3 linked regions of the Caenorhabditis elegans genome follow. The protein of the gene in region 3 purifies or fractionates together with the protein of the main gene of each other region. This does not show direct contact. Each region holds a gene or a part of one and is shown on either strand. Other genes may lie near its edges. The genes, in order: icp-1, zen-4 and kin-3.

Evidence for each region.
Region 1: the proteins of kin-3 (region 3) and icp-1 purify together in Caenorhabditis elegans (affinity purification with mass spectrometry, with the first as the bait; one study listed by BioGRID). This does not show direct contact.
Region 2: the proteins of kin-3 (region 3) and zen-4 purify together in Caenorhabditis elegans (affinity purification with mass spectrometry, with the first as the bait; one study listed by BioGRID). This does not show direct contact.

The regions. Positions count from the first base shown.
Region 1 is NC_003279.8:2,303,915-2,308,734, reverse strand, and holds icp-1 (Inner centromere protein ARK-binding domain-containing protein), read left to right. Parts: upstream 1-1,944; 5' UTR 1,945-1,948; coding exon 1,949-2,032; intron 2,033-2,079; coding exon 2,080-2,265; intron 2,266-2,315; coding exon 2,316-3,104; intron 3,105-3,155; coding exon 3,156-3,836; intron 3,837-3,890; coding exon 3,891-4,019; 3' UTR 4,020-4,222; downstream 4,223-4,820. Other genes in the region: Y39G10AR.9 (WD_REPEATS_REGION domain-containing protein), read right to left, coding at 1-140, 194-773, 845-1,199, 1,243-1,331, 1,421-1,468; tpxl-1 (TPX2 domain-containing protein), read left to right, coding at 4,343-4,487, 4,536-4,820.
Region 2 is NC_003282.8:6,116,203-6,122,382, forward strand, and holds zen-4 (Kinesin-like protein), read left to right. Parts: upstream 1-2,012; 5' UTR 2,013-2,021; coding exon 2,022-2,464; intron 2,465-2,510; coding exon 2,511-2,759; intron 2,760-2,801; coding exon 2,802-3,107; intron 3,108-3,161; coding exon 3,162-3,411; intron 3,412-3,463; coding exon 3,464-3,646; intron 3,647-3,691; coding exon 3,692-4,414; intron 4,415-4,470; coding exon 4,471-4,557; coding exon of another isoform or gene 4,558-4,641; exon of another isoform or gene 4,642-4,697; coding exon 4,698-4,820; 3' UTR 4,821-4,895; exon of another isoform or gene 4,896-5,141; coding exon of another isoform or gene 5,142-5,234; 3' UTR 5,235-5,575; downstream 5,576-6,180. Other genes in the region: M03D4.4 (C2H2-type domain-containing protein), read right to left, coding at 5,918-6,022.
Region 3 is NC_003279.8:10,732,483-10,737,234, reverse strand, and holds kin-3 (Casein kinase II subunit alpha), read right to left. Parts: upstream 3,214-4,752; 5' UTR 3,197-3,213; coding exon 3,158-3,196; intron 3,093-3,157; exon of another isoform or gene 2,979-3,092; intron 2,915-2,978; coding exon 2,744-2,914; intron 2,685-2,743; coding exon 2,557-2,684; intron 2,508-2,556; coding exon 2,423-2,507; intron 2,364-2,422; coding exon 2,067-2,363; intron 1,610-2,066; coding exon 1,485-1,609; intron 1,430-1,484; coding exon 1,348-1,429; intron 1,151-1,347; coding exon 995-1,150; 3' UTR 620-994; downstream 1-619. Other genes in the region: nfs-1 (cysteine desulfurase), read right to left, coding at 418-486; mrpl-9 (Large ribosomal subunit protein bL9m), read left to right, coding at 3,577-3,636, 3,682-3,847, 3,898-4,022, 4,071-4,394, 4,442-4,597. UniProt on the Caenorhabditis elegans protein: Casein kinases are operationally defined by their preferential utilization of acidic proteins such as caseins as substrates. The alpha chain contains the catalytic site. May participate in Wnt signaling.

The sequences.
Region 1 (4,820 bases), 8.4 Mb from region 3:
ACATGTATAAATATTCTTCTGATAAATCGCCATATCGTACACCGGCTCACAATCGGCACCGGTTAGCTCGTACTCGGCGGAGATGATGCTTGACGAGGTGGGAAGGGAAAGGATCGGAAAGGCGAGAACATTTCCGGTGGCTGAAAATTAATTTATTTTTTAAATATAAAGTTTGAAGCTCATATTTTCTCACTGAATGATGCAATTAGTCGATTGCAATAGTATTTGAGGCAGGTGACGCTTCCTTTTTTGGTGACAATTTCCCCGATTAACCGGCGATCCGACACGTTATAGGCCGCCACGTGGCCATCCTCAAACCCGACGAACACCGCTTTTCCACCTTCATCTCCGGAAAAACAGAGAGCCGTAGGAACGGAAGGAAGCTGAATATCACGCCGAATCTTGTCGCCGTGCAGATCAATCGCTGATAGGAAATTGTTTTCGCAGATGACAGCGAATCTCGAGTCATCCACTGACATTGCCATGTCAATGCATTTTCCCTTCTCGAAGCTCCATGTTTCGGTTGGCGCAGCATTTTTGCAGCTCCAAAATCGTACTGTTCCGTCGTTGGAGCACGAGAGGAACTCTCGTCCAACTCCGATGATCCCGAAGCCTGTTACTGCCTTTGTGTGCCCGACGAACGTCTTCTGAGCCGGCACTTTATCCACTGCCCATACTCTGATCGCCATATCCATTCCACCGCCAATAACGACGAGACCCGACGGGAAATACATGCAGCGGTAGATGTCCATAGTGTGGCCGGTGAGTTCTGTCTGAAAATTATTAAATTTTCAGGTGAAAATCATCAAAATTTTGCGCTAAAATATTGTTTTTAAAGACCCACTAGAGTCTCGGCAGTTCTCGAATTCGCAATGATCAGCTTTCCGCTCGAATCAGCTGCAACAAAAGTGCTTCCGGTACATGAAACGTCGAACGAGCGCGGCGCTGATTGTAGCCCTCGGAGGTTCTGCTCACTGGTAGGACCGACGAAAATTGTGGTTCTCCCTTGGAAAGTGACATGTAGATTTTTATGCTCATCGAGAGAAACATCAGTGAAGTCGGAAGATTTAATTGAGCCTTCCTCTGGCATCACAGCGAATCCGTACTCATCAACAAGCTTTGTGATCTGTACTTGGAAGAATTCGGTTTTCGTAGCCTCGAATTTCTTGATTCCGAGGTAGAACTGCGAGACTGGTTCTCTGAAAAAAAAATAAATTTCCATGGAAATGTATATTAATTTACCTCAAATTGAGGTGCCAATCATGTTGAATTGAAAGCGTTTCGTCAATGTTTTTCGATGGATTTTGGGCTGTTTCAGCTTCCATTTTTATCTGGAATAATCAGTTTTAGGAGGGAAAGAATACATAAAAGCGATTTTTCTCTCTGAAAACTATTAAGAATGATAAAAGAAAATATCTACCGTAGTTTGCAAAGTCGTGCCGATGCCTTTACTACCGTTTATGGCCATGCGGCTTTGATGGTAGGTTTTCGTGGTGAGATATTTAGGATTTCGCAAAGCGGGTTTTTTTGTTTTTTAGGCGAATTTCTGGGAATTTCTTAAAGTTTTATCGTGTTTTTGAGACTACTTTCGTAATTTTTGGATGAAAAATTAAAATCTATCACTTAAAAACTCAACAATTCCCGTTATAACACTCCAATCTCGTTTAAAAACCTGTTTTTTCCTTTAAAATCTTACTTTTCTCCAACTTTGTCCAGCAGTTTCTGAATAATTTGTATAGCCGAAACATCTATTTAAACATCTTTGTTTTTGTCGAATGAGGCGCTTGGCAACCCTGCTCTATTGTACACCCTACTATGTTTGCGCACGCGCGGGAATCGTTTCCATTCGAATTGTCAGCCCTCCCATTGTTTTCCCGCTCGTTTTTCGACTTTTGTTCATCTTTTCGAAAATTTTACAGAGTTTAAATCAGTTTTTTTTTCCAGAAAGATGCCACCAAAAAAGCGCGCAGTCTCGCGAAAGCCAGCCGAGCCCACCATCAAACTGTTTTCGAGTATCCCGAAAATTTCGTCGGTTTGTGTTTATGAATAATTTCTTTTGATATAAAATATTTCTTTCAGATATTCGATGAAGTAAGCGAGGCTCATGACGACGCGGCTGCAAAAGTTTTCGCAGATCTGTACAAGAGGATGTCCTCGATCACAGAAGAACTGGCCACGCCTCAATTCTCGGCGGAACAGCTATTAAATGCCGTCCTAAAACCCGGACGCATTGATGCTGAGTTTGTTGAGTTGATTTCAAGACAGGTAAGAAAATCTCAAATTTACTTTATTCCGTCAATGCTTATTTTTTTCAGAAAGCGAAACCCGCTCAACCGTCCAGTTCAAGTCACCGCGGAGATGATGATATGGAAACCGACGAAGTCGAGACAGATCAAGCAGGACCCATCACTCCACGAGCCGGCTCAGTAGCGACTGATGGTGATTTCGAAGAGGACATATTGCCAGTCACGTTGAAGCGCATGCAGCAAATGAGCATATCCAAAAAGAAGACCGAAGGAAGCATCTCACGAAATGCAGCGTACAGTGGCACTCCTCGCAGAAATCCACCGCGTGAGGCTCACAATCAAGCTACTCCGCGCAACATTTTCTCGTCAACACCTGGACGTATGGCAGGAACTCCCGGCCGTGCAGCTGTGGTTCCAAGGACGCCCCATCGTGTGATTCCGTTCAATGATGCAGAAAAAGATCCGAATGCAAGGATGAAGCATGCTGATGAGCTCCGGATGAAAGAGCTCGAGAAGAAAAGGGAGAAAGCACGGAAGGACGAGGAGAAGCGGAATGCTGTCATGGAGCGCAGAAAAGAGCAGGAAAGAGTTCGTCAGGAAAAGCTCGACCAGTTGAAGCAAAAGGAAGAGCGTAATGCTAATTTGGCGAAACTTCACAACAGTGCAAAGTCGCCAACAAGAGCTCGTTTGATGCAAGACCATGCTCCAAACAAGGCTGCAAGTAGAAAAATCTTCCCAACGGCGGAAAGCACATCCACTCCTGGTCGAGGCCCTGCTAAGAAGGGAAAAGTTGAGATTCTAATTGGCTCAGATGGACAGAAGACTGCTCCTGTGGCTCAGCCGACCGTTGAACTATCGGTGAGTATTTACTTGATTGTATTTTCCTAATAATAATTTAACTCATTTCAGCCTTCCCGAGAATTGCAACGAAACGGTAGCCGGCAAGTCAAAATGGAGCCGATGAGCTGTGATGATTCAACTCCACCGGCGCGTCAACATAAACCAAAGGCGAAAGCGACGAAACGATCGGCCCACGCAGCTTCGTCTTCTACATCAAATGTTGAAGCTGCTGCCGCACTTGCCGCTCTTCAGGAACAGCAACGTATTCAGCTGGAACAGGAGCAGTATCTGCTACAGTTAGCAGAAGATGAACGACGAAAGCGGGAGCAGAAGGAAATGAAAGAGAAAGCGGAGAAGGAGCGTCAACTCAGAGCTCGAGAAGAGCAGGAGCATTTTCTGGCCGTTCAGAGAGAAGAGCAAGCTCAGCTGGAGAAGCAAAGAGAGCGAGAAGAGGCAGAGCTCCAGGCAACACTCGCAAGATGCGCGGAGAAACAAGCTCGTCAGGAAGCTCTTCGAAAAACGCCACCACCTGCAGCCTACGAAATGACTCCGCCACGTACCTATCAAAACAACTCAAAGAATGACTATGGTTTGAACGATCTTAACAGTGATGACGAGACAGATCAAGAAGATGATCCACGCAAAGATGTCCCGGCTTGGGCCGAATTCGCAGTTGTCCGTGAGAATGTCAGAAGACATGCCATTAATCCACCATTCGACGTGGCTCAATTCTTCGGATCGATTGGAAAGGTAATTGTTTTTTTTTTCTTGCAGCTCCTTCAGTAAAAATTTAAAAATTTTCAGCCAAATCTAAAGGAAATCTTTAGTGATGCTGTCAAAGTCAAGAAGCGCGGATCGTCAGCAGTGTGGAAAAAGAGTCCATCAACGTTAAACACGTCGTCTCGCACAATTCTTCAAGACATTTCGGAATGATGTTGTACCGAAGCAGCTTACATCGCCAGGAGTCGCTCCAGCATGCGACATAATCTTTTTTCAAAAATTGTAAAATGTTTTTATATTTCGTATTGAGTTATTTTTTATTTTCAATGTTTCCCCCTTTTTAACGGAGAATACAAAAACTCCATCGGCCCTAACTTTACATTAAATTTTTTTTTCGCTGTAAATAATAATTCTTCAGCCGATTTTTATTTTATTGTTCACTCATTGATTAACGTGTTCTGAATTCACGAGTTTATTTATTTATTTATTTTTCTATCAGTTAGAATTCAAATTATCATTTATTTCTTTCTTATAGGATGAGCAAAAGTCAAACCATTCAGGAATTCGATGAGAATTTCTTCAGCAGCTTTGCTGTACCGAAAGTCAAGGACTATTCGAGATTATCGAGCTCGCCGAGCAGAGACCAGCCGTGTGAGACGTCATACTTCGAAAATCACTTTCGTAAGACTATTCAAATATTATTTTTCATAATAAAGTTTTAATTTCCAGCAAGCCTGGAATGCGACACGCCGGTCAAAATGCAACTTCCCAAGACGAAGCGGGAATCCGATGATGATCTCCCATCTCCAACTATCGATAATCTTCTTTCGTCTTCATCGGAATCCACTGTAATCAACGCAAGTCAAAATGACAACACAGAAGAGAAGCAGCAGCAACCAATCAGAGAACCACTCAAAATCGTGCCAAACGAGGACGCATCAGCTTCAGGAAGCGGTGGAGAAAATCAGCTAATCGAGGGACTTGAGAAATTGTCAATGTTTGCACCAAAAGCTC
Region 2 (6,180 bases), on a different chromosome or scaffold from region 3:
CAATGGAAGGAACCGTATTTCCGCATGAATTTCCTCTCCATACTCTCGCGTTTTGTTCCTTATTTAACATTTTTTTGTTTTTGAATTACCTTTGCAAAAAAAGATTGAATGGACGAGAAAAAATAAATATTCGAAGAGAAAAGTTGTGGGCGGCAGAAACCTTTTGAACTCTTCTCTTCTCATCAACACACAAAAGAATTCAAAGAATCAGTAATTAACCACCTCGTGAGTTTCCAAGTGTTTGGAGTGTGGTGATTTCTGGAGAAAATTGAGAATATTCTGTAGTTTTCCCACGAAGGGTGAAAACAAAAAATATTACGGGAACACTAAATTCTGAGAATGCGTATTGCGCATCACATTTGACGCTCAACGAAAAATTGGAGGAAGTTTAAATATCGCTGTCACAATTCGAAAATAAATTTGTTTCGAACTTTCCGCCCGTAAATCGACATTTAAAAAAATTACTGTAGTTTTCGCTACAAGACATTTTGCGCGTAAGATATGTTGCTCAATACGCATTCTCAGAATTTAGTGTGCCCGTAATAGAATGTTTAATCCTGTTTAAACGTTTCATAATTTGGGGAGCATCTTCAACAATTTGGCTTCCCCGATTCGGCTGCGCCCACTCATTGCTCCTCGCAAAAAAAAAACGAATCAAGAATTAAAATCCTGGGAACCCCATTTGATTGATGATCAGAGATATAAGAAGCTTATAAATAATTTAATGCGAGTGCAAGAATTCAGACGATTTTTGAATCTTAATGTGTCGCCCTTCTCTTTTCAGATACGTCATGACGTGATTTATCTGAAACGGAATCTTGAGTCTGAAATGGAAAACACTGAGATTTTTAAGGACGGTTTTAAAAAATAAACTTCGAAATTGCTGTGGAAAGAATTATTTTTCAACAAATTGGCACATTTTTTCCAAATTCAGAACTGCTCCGAATTCATTGCTCGCTTGGATTGAACACCAAGGATGCCCTTTTTCTGTTATTTGAATTTTTTGGCAAATACTGTTTTACTACTTGATCTTGTACTACAATTGGCTCTTTTACTACGTTTTATCTTTTACTAATGATTTTTTACTACGACTTGAAAATTAATTTTTATAGTATTATAATTCTAGAAGTAAACAAATGTAGAATATTCTAGTGAACTTCACATGTTTTCTTTGTACTGTTGGGCTACTGGCACTGTGGTATATCATGTTTTTTTTTTCTAGAAATTTATTCACTATGAAATCAGCAGAACTTATTGTGTACATTTGGCTCTTAAAAATTGATAGAGATAGAGTACACAAAGTTGACATTGACACTGACCAATTTTTAAAAATAGACAAAAACTACAAAACCAGAACCAAAACCAAGTTAATCTGGGGGAAATACAAAACCAAACTACGAAGACACTTTTTCACAAAAAGAATATAAAGTTCTATTAAAAATTAGCAAAACGAATCTTATATTGGCACCTCAACTTTTACAGATGATAATTAATTTCCTTGTTTGTAACTTATTCGTATGTTTTTTATTAATCTTCCTATGTATTATGTGTTTATTTTTATGTCTTTAAATGATTTTTATTATATCTCACTACAATCATATCCGACCTGTGCTTTGATGCGGCCACATCAGGAACTTTGAGGATTTTCATCCTTTCGGAACCCATTACAGTCTCAACTCCCCGCACTGAAGGAAGGCCCATAGCACACGGTGGCGGCGGACAAAACGCGAGCTAGCGAGTGCCACCGCAATATTACAAGAGTACCACTCTCGCTGCCTTGTGTGAGAGACGCAGACATAGGTATTAAAGGCGCATAGATTTATCTGCGTGGCTGGTCTCACTGCGCACCCTCCCCCTCCGCCGCCAGTTTGAATTCTAACCGTTCTCACATGTTTGCTTTGACTTGTTTTTGTTGATTTTTCTTCGAAATTTGTTATTTTTTCACGGTTTTTTGGAATAAAACCGTTTTTGTAAATCAATATAACAAAACTTGTTTTATTTAATTCAATTCATTTCAGAAAATGTCGTCGCGTAAACGAGGAATAACTCCATCGCGAGACCAAGTCCGCCGGAAGAAGTTATCGATTGAAGAAACCGACAGTATCGAAGTCGTTTGTCGTCTTTGTCCATATACTGGCTCGACTCCAAGTCTTATTGCAATTGATGAGGGATCTATTCAAACTGTTCTTCCACCAGCACAGTTCAGACGCGAAAACGCTCCACAAGTTGAGAAAGTGTTTAGATTTGGACGAGTTTTTTCGGAAAATGATGGACAAGCTACTGTTTTTGAGCGGACATCTGTTGATTTAATTTTAAACCTATTGAAAGGTCAGAATTCGTTGTTATTCACTTATGGAGTTACTGGATCTGGAAAAACGTATACAATGACGGGAAAACCCACTGAAACCGGCACAGGACTACTGCCGCGTACATTGGATGTAATTTTCAATAGTATTAATAATCGGTAAGCTTTTGAAACGAAAAAAGCAAATAATATTATTTTCTTCCAGAGTTGAGAAATGCATCTTCTATCCATCAGCACTGAATACATTCGAGATCCGTGCCACATTGGATGCTCACTTGAAACGCCATCAAATGGCTGCAGACCGTCTTTCCACATCACGCGAAATCACTGATCGTTACTGTGAAGCTATAAAGCTGTCAGGCTACAACGACGATATGGTTTGCTCGGTTTTCGTAACCTACGTCGAAATCTACAACAATTATTGCTACGATTTGTTGGAAGACGCCAGAAATGGGTAAGAAAAATCGAGCAATAATTGATAGTGACCCTCCGCTAGTTCCAGAGTATTGACGAAGCGTGAAATTCGTCATGATCGTCAGCAACAGATGTACGTCGACGGAGCCAAAGATGTTGAAGTCTCGTCAAGCGAGGAAGCTCTCGAAGTGTTCTGCCTTGGAGAAGAACGTCGTCGTGTATCGTCCACTCTTCTCAACAAAGATTCATCCCGTTCTCATTCCGTATTCACTATCAAATTGGTTATGGCTCCGAGAGCCTACGAGACGAAAAGCGTGTATCCAACAATGGACTCATCGCAAATTATCGTTTCGCAGTTATGTTTGGTAGATTTGGCTGGATCTGAGAGGTTTGTTTTTTTGTTGTAAACTGAAATATATATGTTTAATGAGAAAAATTTTAGAGCAAAGCGCACACAGAATGTTGGTGAACGTCTTGCGGAAGCCAACTCGATCAATCAGTCCCTCATGACTCTTCGTCAGTGTATTGAAGTACTCCGTCGTAACCAAAAGAGTTCCTCACAAAACCTTGAGCAAGTTCCATATCGCCAGTCAAAATTGACTCATTTATTCAAAAACTATCTGGAAGGAAATGGAAAAATCAGAATGGTTATTTGTGTGAATCCAAAGCCTGATGATTACGATGAAAACATGGTTCGTTCAGAATTCAAAGAATTTACTAATTATTTAAATTCGTAACTTTCAGAGTGCTCTAGCTTTCGCTGAAGAATCACAAACAATTGAAGTGAAAAAGCAAGTTGAACGAATGCCATCCGAGCGGATTCCTCATTCATTCTTCACCCAATGGAATTCTGAGCTAGATGGATCTGTTCGTATGGAGGATGATGGAAGTAGAGAAATTCCGTGCCCACCGACATTCTGTTTGACAGTAAGAATTTCACAAATTGAATGGTTTTGAACAAATTGTTTCCAGGATTGCAATGACAAAGATACGGTAGATTCCATGTATAAGTATGCTCGGAAACTTTCATCTCTTCAAAATTCATCAGAAGAGGGACCATCTTCAACTCTTCTTACTATGATTCGCCAATACATGATGGAAGCAGACTACCAGCGAGTAGAGATTGCACGTCTCAAAGATTCTCTAAACGACAAGGATGAAGAAATCAAGAAGCTTCGAGGTTTCTGCTCAAGATATAAGCGTGAGAACGCTTCGATGAAGGAACGAATTGCCTCGTGTGAGCAAGGAGAGCAAGAGAATGCTCTGGTTATGGAAAAGCTTATGGAACAAAAAATGGAGGACAGGAAGATTATTCAGTCACAGAAGAAGGCGATGAGAAATGTTCGTGGAATTATTGATAATCCATCCCCGTCTGTTGCTTCTCTTCGATCACGATTTGATCAAGAGAATGTGGCTCATCCAACAGCTCCAATCCAAACTCCACCACCGCCATATCAAACTCCAGGACGTGCTCCAGTCTTCAAAAAACGGTTAGAAGCCACTACATCGACCACTGTAATGTCTGGATCTTCAAGTGGAGGAAGTGGTCAACAGGGTTACGTTAATCCAAAATATCAAAGAAGATCCAAGTCTGCATCTCGTCTATTGGATCATCAGCCACTTCATCGAGTTCCAACAGGAACGGTTCTTCAGTCTCGTACACCGGCTAACGCCATACGGACTACTAAACCTGAGGTAGGAAAAAACATTAATAAATTCCGCAATTTTATTGTAATTCAATTGTTTTCCAGATGCATCAGTTGAACAAATCCGGAGAATACCGTCTCACGCATCAAGAAGTTGACGATGAAGGAAACATTAGCACGAATATAGTGAAGGTAAATTCCTTGGTTTCCACCCAAAAACACGCCTGTACCGTCCCGTTGTCGTTTTCCCGTGTCCTTATCACCCATCTTTCCTGATACAAAACTGTCCGTCTTTTCTTCTCACAAAGCACACACGTAACGCATTCTAACAGGCACCATCTAAACCACCAGAACTTCAACTGGAAGACTCGCAAAGCAGTTCGTATTCACCGTGTACGGATGTAAAATCGATAACGATATACTCTAATCATGATGTTGAAGAAGAAGATGAATGAGAATTATTTGAAATGAATGTTTGCTGGGGGAATGAGAAGATGAAGCTGCTCTTTTTACATTTTTATGTGTTTGTTGTATGTTTTTGATTGTTTATTGGCTATTTTAGATACTGTTTTAGTAGTGCTTGAGAAAACTGCCTGAATTTGCTTGATATATACTTTTTGAGTTAAAATTTCATGCTTAAAATTAACTAATTTAGTGCTAGTTCTATATGCATTTAATTTCAGTTTTTCATGTAATGTTTTAGGTCATATAACTTTAAAAATACATTTATTTTTGTGTTCCACTTTCTCATCTGTTGCTCATCTCGAATTTTTCAGGGAAATGTAATTCCAACAGTTTCCGGTGGCACTGCCGTGTTCTTCAACGATATCGAGAGACTCACTCACGAATCTCCGAGCACACGAAAGTAATTATAAGTGCCGTCTTTGATCTTTTTACCTCCATCCTGCTGCATTTTCATGTCAAATTTGTACCATACTCTTCAAATTTTCTCCAAATATTTATTAATTTATTATGTTTCTCATTCATAATCCCATTTTCCGAACTCGAAGAGAACTCTTGTTTTTTTGTAGACCTCACCGCATTTTTATGATCTTTCACTTCTTCGTCTTTTTCTCCTTCTACGCACAATTTTTTGATATCGATCTGAAGAACTCTGTTCATTTTTATTCCCGACGATGATTTGTGTACTAGTAAATGCTTTTGTATTTTAATTTTAATTAAACTCAAAGAATATAAAATATGAAAATAAGTTAGCTTTTATTTTCGTTCAAAAAAATGAATCTCAATAAATAAGACCCGATTTAGGTCGAGGGTTACATAGAAAATGGTGGGAAAAAGGCACGGTTTTATACAAATAATTATGATTTAATACGCGTTTTTTGATTTTTTGGTTGGTATTTCAAAAAATAATTCAATCGAAAAATAAAAAGGGATTATCATGAAAAAGAGGTCAGAAATATTGATTATCAGAGAGATTTAATTTTTTAAAATTAAAGTTAAATTGGGAAAAGCCAGGCGAGAGACAAGATCAGAAACCACGTGGTGAGAGAAATATGAGAAAAAAAAAAGAAAATCGGTGAAAATTAATTGCCTAGAGAGTATTTTTAAGATGAGTGAATACATTTACTGCATTCATCATGAACATATTATCCGGTGTTGCTGTATTTGTCAAGAAATTGGAAACATTTGCGATGATCTGAAATATACATTCGTTGAAACAGTGGAAATTTTGAAATATTTTCCGCAAGTCTGGCATGAAATTTGCAAGCGTGCCGCACCGTTTTTTTCAAAAATTGCTATTAACTTTCTTCTCTCCAGTTTAATTTCTTTGCAAAAGTTTGCAAGACAATAATT
Region 3 (4,752 bases):
AATAAAATAATTTAGTCACATTTAGAGAACCGAAAACTGAGAAATTGGTTTTTTAAATACCAAAAATGGTCTCAAACTACTGAATTTCGCAATGAAATGTTCTGAAAATTTATGAAAAATAAAAAAAAAAATATTATATGGGTTCAAAGTATTGTAAAATGTCATATTTTCAGTGTCGCAGCGCTGTCGTAAATCAGTTTTCATATAATTATCATAATTTATTGCTGGTTTTGTTCGCTTAGGCCCTTTTTAGGCCATAAGCCGCAATTTTAGAATGCCTACTAGCTTAAACTGTGCCTAGGTTAGAAAAAAACTCATTCGAAATCTAAATTGTATCTGAAAAGTTTCGTTAATTTTTTCCAGATACAAGTTTTTTATATTATTTTTAATCATGCTTTATTATTTCCATTTAATTACCATTGGCGCGGTAGCCTGAACATCCAAATAAATCGGCTGCGGAGATCCTGGCTCAATTTTCGATGCCATTGTCCGGCGAGCAATCGATCGAAGGAGCACTCGTCCGTTGAGCATTTTAAATCTAAAACTCTAAAAGTGAACATAGTTCACAACTCAACATAGGAACAATAGTAGGTTTTTCAAACCAAAGACAATATTGATTACAAGTAACAGTTTTTTTTCTCACGAACTGTGATTCGATTTATAAAAATGATGATTGTGGTTGTTTGAGGAAGAGGAAAGGGGAGAAGAAGGAGAACAATATGAAATGGGACAAAAAAGATTTAAAATTGAAACGGAATTTCAGAGGCATGAATTACACAAAAAAATCCTAAAAATAGAATTTGCAAAGAACGTTTCTCACGAAAAGATTAGGCACTTTTGTGGTACGTAGAGGGAAATTTTCGGAGAAGCGGGGAAGATTTAATATCTTAGCCAATTTTTAGAGCAAAGGAATAATGATGGAGAGGAGTGGTGTGGAAATTAATAAAAAAGGAAATAGTCAACAGGAAAATTAAAAAAAAAATAGAAAGAAATTTTAAGCGCCGTCAATTTTGGCATCGGAGGATTGAGAAGAAGCGGAATTCGATGCACCCTGTCCGTCAGCTTGTTCAGTTCCATTGGCACGAGCATGTGCTTCAACAACTGGGCGGAAGTATTCGTGACCCATGGCCTCTTGAGCAGTTAGGCGTTCCTGAATATGGTGAAATTTATTAAAAGTTCTGGAAATAAATTAATTTAACAAATAAAAGTATTTATAGTTAGTTTCGAGTATCAAATGTCTTTTTTTTCAATAAAACAAGTGAAAATTGTTTTTATTTCTCTGTGTTCTTGTTAAAACTGGTTTTCAGTAACTAATTTGGTGTAATTTCTCTTTTTTCCGATTCTTACCGCGTGATCGTAGCGAAGAAGTTTATCAAGGAAATCAAGAGCCTCTGGGGTGACAAGATGTTGATTTTCAGCGTGGATAAATCTACAACAAATGAATTTTAAGAAAAACATGAAACTTCGCTTCGATCAAAATATACCTTTCCCAGCGTTTTCTTGAGTGTCGCCCGAGAATATCGTTGAAGCGTGGATCGAGATCAATGTGATATCTCGCAATGTACTCGTAAAGCTCATCAGTTCCCAATACCTTTGCAATGCGGACTAGCTGCAAAAAACTTTTTATAAGAAAATCAGATTTCGTGAATTTATAAAATATTAAAAATCATAAAAATTATTGATGAATATTTAATAAATACCTGACAATATTATTTATTCATTTAAATTTCAGCTCAGGGGTGCGAATCAATCGCCGGCAAGAAATTCTACGGAATAAGCCAAACTTATCAGTAAAATTTTAGCTATGGAATTCAAAAAAATAATTTCTTTATCTGAAAATAGTTTTTTGCAGCTGGAACAATTGAAAAATGCTCAAAATTGGAAAATTTTCGGTTTTTTTCGGAAATTTTAAACTTTCCGGTAATTTTTTAAGCGTTTTTCCCCATTGTTCTCACTGAAATAAAAGCCATAATCAGATAAATCAAATGTTTTCTATATTCCAATATTGGATTTTAATGAAATTTGTGGATTTGCGGTTCTTTGCTACTTCAGCTTAAAGTGCTTACCTGATCGTAGTTATCATGGCCGTGGAAGAATGGTTCCTTCCTGAAGATCATACTAGCCAACATGCATCCCAAACTCCACATATCCAACGAATAATCGTAACATTGATAATCGACAAGAAGCTCGGGTCCCTTGAAATATCTAGAAGCAACACGAACATTATAGTCCTGTCTTGGATGATAGAATTCGGCTAATCCCCAATCTATTAATCGAAGTTCCCGTTTTTCGGCGTCAATCATCACATTGTGCGGCTTAACATCTCTGTGCATAATTCCTTGAGAATGGCAGAAGTCGAGAGCCTGGAGAATAAATTGAAACGTTATGAATTCAAAAATTAATGGACAGCTGAAAAAAGTACCTTCAAGAGCTCGTAGAGGTAGTAACGGATATCATAGTCACTGAGGGTTTGATACAATTGCTTGAAGTCCGAATTGTTAACATGCCTTCAAATAGAAATTATTAATTCTAAAAATCTTCAAATAGTAAACCAACTCGAAAATAAGAGCCGGAGTTCTCGAAATAGGATCCTTGACGACGTCGAGGAGGGTGATGATGTTTGTCCCGCCACGAAGATTCTCCAAAATTTTAATCTCACGCTTGATCTTCTTCTTTTTGACTGGCTGAAAACAAACAAATTACATTTTGAAAGCTTTATTACAATTATTTTTGTAAAACTTACCTTGAGAATCTTGACAACAACTTTCTCGTCAGTGCTCATCTTGAATCCTTCAAAAACCTCCGAATATTTTCCACGTCCCAACTTGCGTACCAGCTGATAATCATCGATTTGTCCCCATTCGATCATGTGAGCCTCATAGTCCCAGTACTCGCGTGGTCTCGACGGATTCACCTGAAACAATTGTGATTTATAATATATAAACTCATAAAAACATAATTTAGTGACTTTTACAAATAGTTTTTCTTTACGAGACTATAAATTCCTATGAACATTTATAAAATCTAACAAATGTGGCGTACAGTGTTTCACAGTATTCCACAACTAAACGGATAACGTTAATTCCGTCATTGTGAGTTATGTATGAGCAATATATTCTGTTCAATAATTAACTCCTGGCTATACAAACTTGCTCACCTCGGCGTAGACCCTCGCCCGGCTAGGAATCGGAGGCATTTCCCAAGAATAACGATCTGAAACAAGTAACACGTTATTTTTGAGCAAGTTTTGACAAAACGGCTGTTATAATTGAATTATTAGAACGAAATTTTCAGTAGAAATAGTAAAATCTCGGGAAAACTGATAAAACCCGAATAATTTTGAAAATACATGCCAGAACATGAAAAGAGTACGCAAATGCGAGAGAGCGCAGAGAAAAAACCAAATGTGAACTCGTGCGTGGTGAGATATTCCCGCTGCGAAAGTCGGTGTGCCTTTAAATTTGTCATCATCGACAACGGCGCGCATTTTCTTTTCTCATCTATTTCTGTATTTTAGAATGAAATCACTTTATTTTCAGCGAAACACTTAATTAAAATTGATATTTTCAGGTAATTATGCTTTCAGCTTCACAGCTTCATCGATTTGTGCAACATATTAATCGCCAGGCAAGCCGAGTAAGTTCTGAAGCAATTAATAAGTTATTTTATGTTTTTCTTCAGAACACATGGGTATTGCGCCGAGTATTCCAACCAGAAGTCACACCGCCCGGCGGAGTACAGAAAAATCCCAATGATTTCCACGATTACCAGAAATACGAAGTTGTTGAGTTCGAAACACAAAAATCCGCTGGTCCGATTAATGTGATTTTACTTCAAGATGTTGAAGGTAGTTTTTTAAAATAAAAGAAAGCAAATGTAAAAAATTCATTTTTACAGGAATTGGCCATCAGTTCGATGTGGTTAGTGTGGATCGGACTTTGGCCCGAAAGGATTTACTATTATCTAAAAAAGCCGTCTACGCGTCGCCGTTTGATTTAAAGTACTATTCAGATATGAAAACAGTGGGTTTTAATGTTAATTTATATTTTTCAATCAAATAATAATTTCAGCGAATGGCTGAAGAACTTGCTTCTCGAATCAGAATTCCATATGAGCTCAAAGTGGTTGGACGAGATTTGCAAAAAATGGTCATTCCAATCAAAGTTAATATGGAAAATCAATGGACGATTGATAGGAATCTTGTAAAAAGCTCACTTCGTCAAATGGGAGTTTTCGTTGCTGAAAATACAATTTTCCTCGCCGCTAAACCAATTTCTGGCCCGAATTTTGATATCGAAGCAAAACTATTCCGATTCTACGTTGTTGTAAATCAACAATACATTGTTCCTATGTTAGGAAGGATTACACATATTTCAGTAGATGAATCCAAACAGGTAAAGATTGAAAAGTTGTAGAAAATTATTGAATTTCCCTTTTTCAGATGATTTCTCCTACACTGACAACACCACGTGACGAGGAATTGGCTCGATATTCCATCCGAAAAGAGTTCCCATTGTACAGTAAAAATAACGATTTCACGGAAGATTTCCCAATTTTCGAGCACATGAAAGAGCATGCACCAACAACTCCACATTAGAATTCTAATAATCAATCAGACTAGATTTAATGTGTTTCAATTCTTTATTTTTGTTATTCTTGTTTTGTTGTTTGAAAAAAATCGATTTTATTTGTATTTGATTCTTCAAATAATTTTTAATTTATTTGCTCACGGTTTAATCACCGTTTAATATC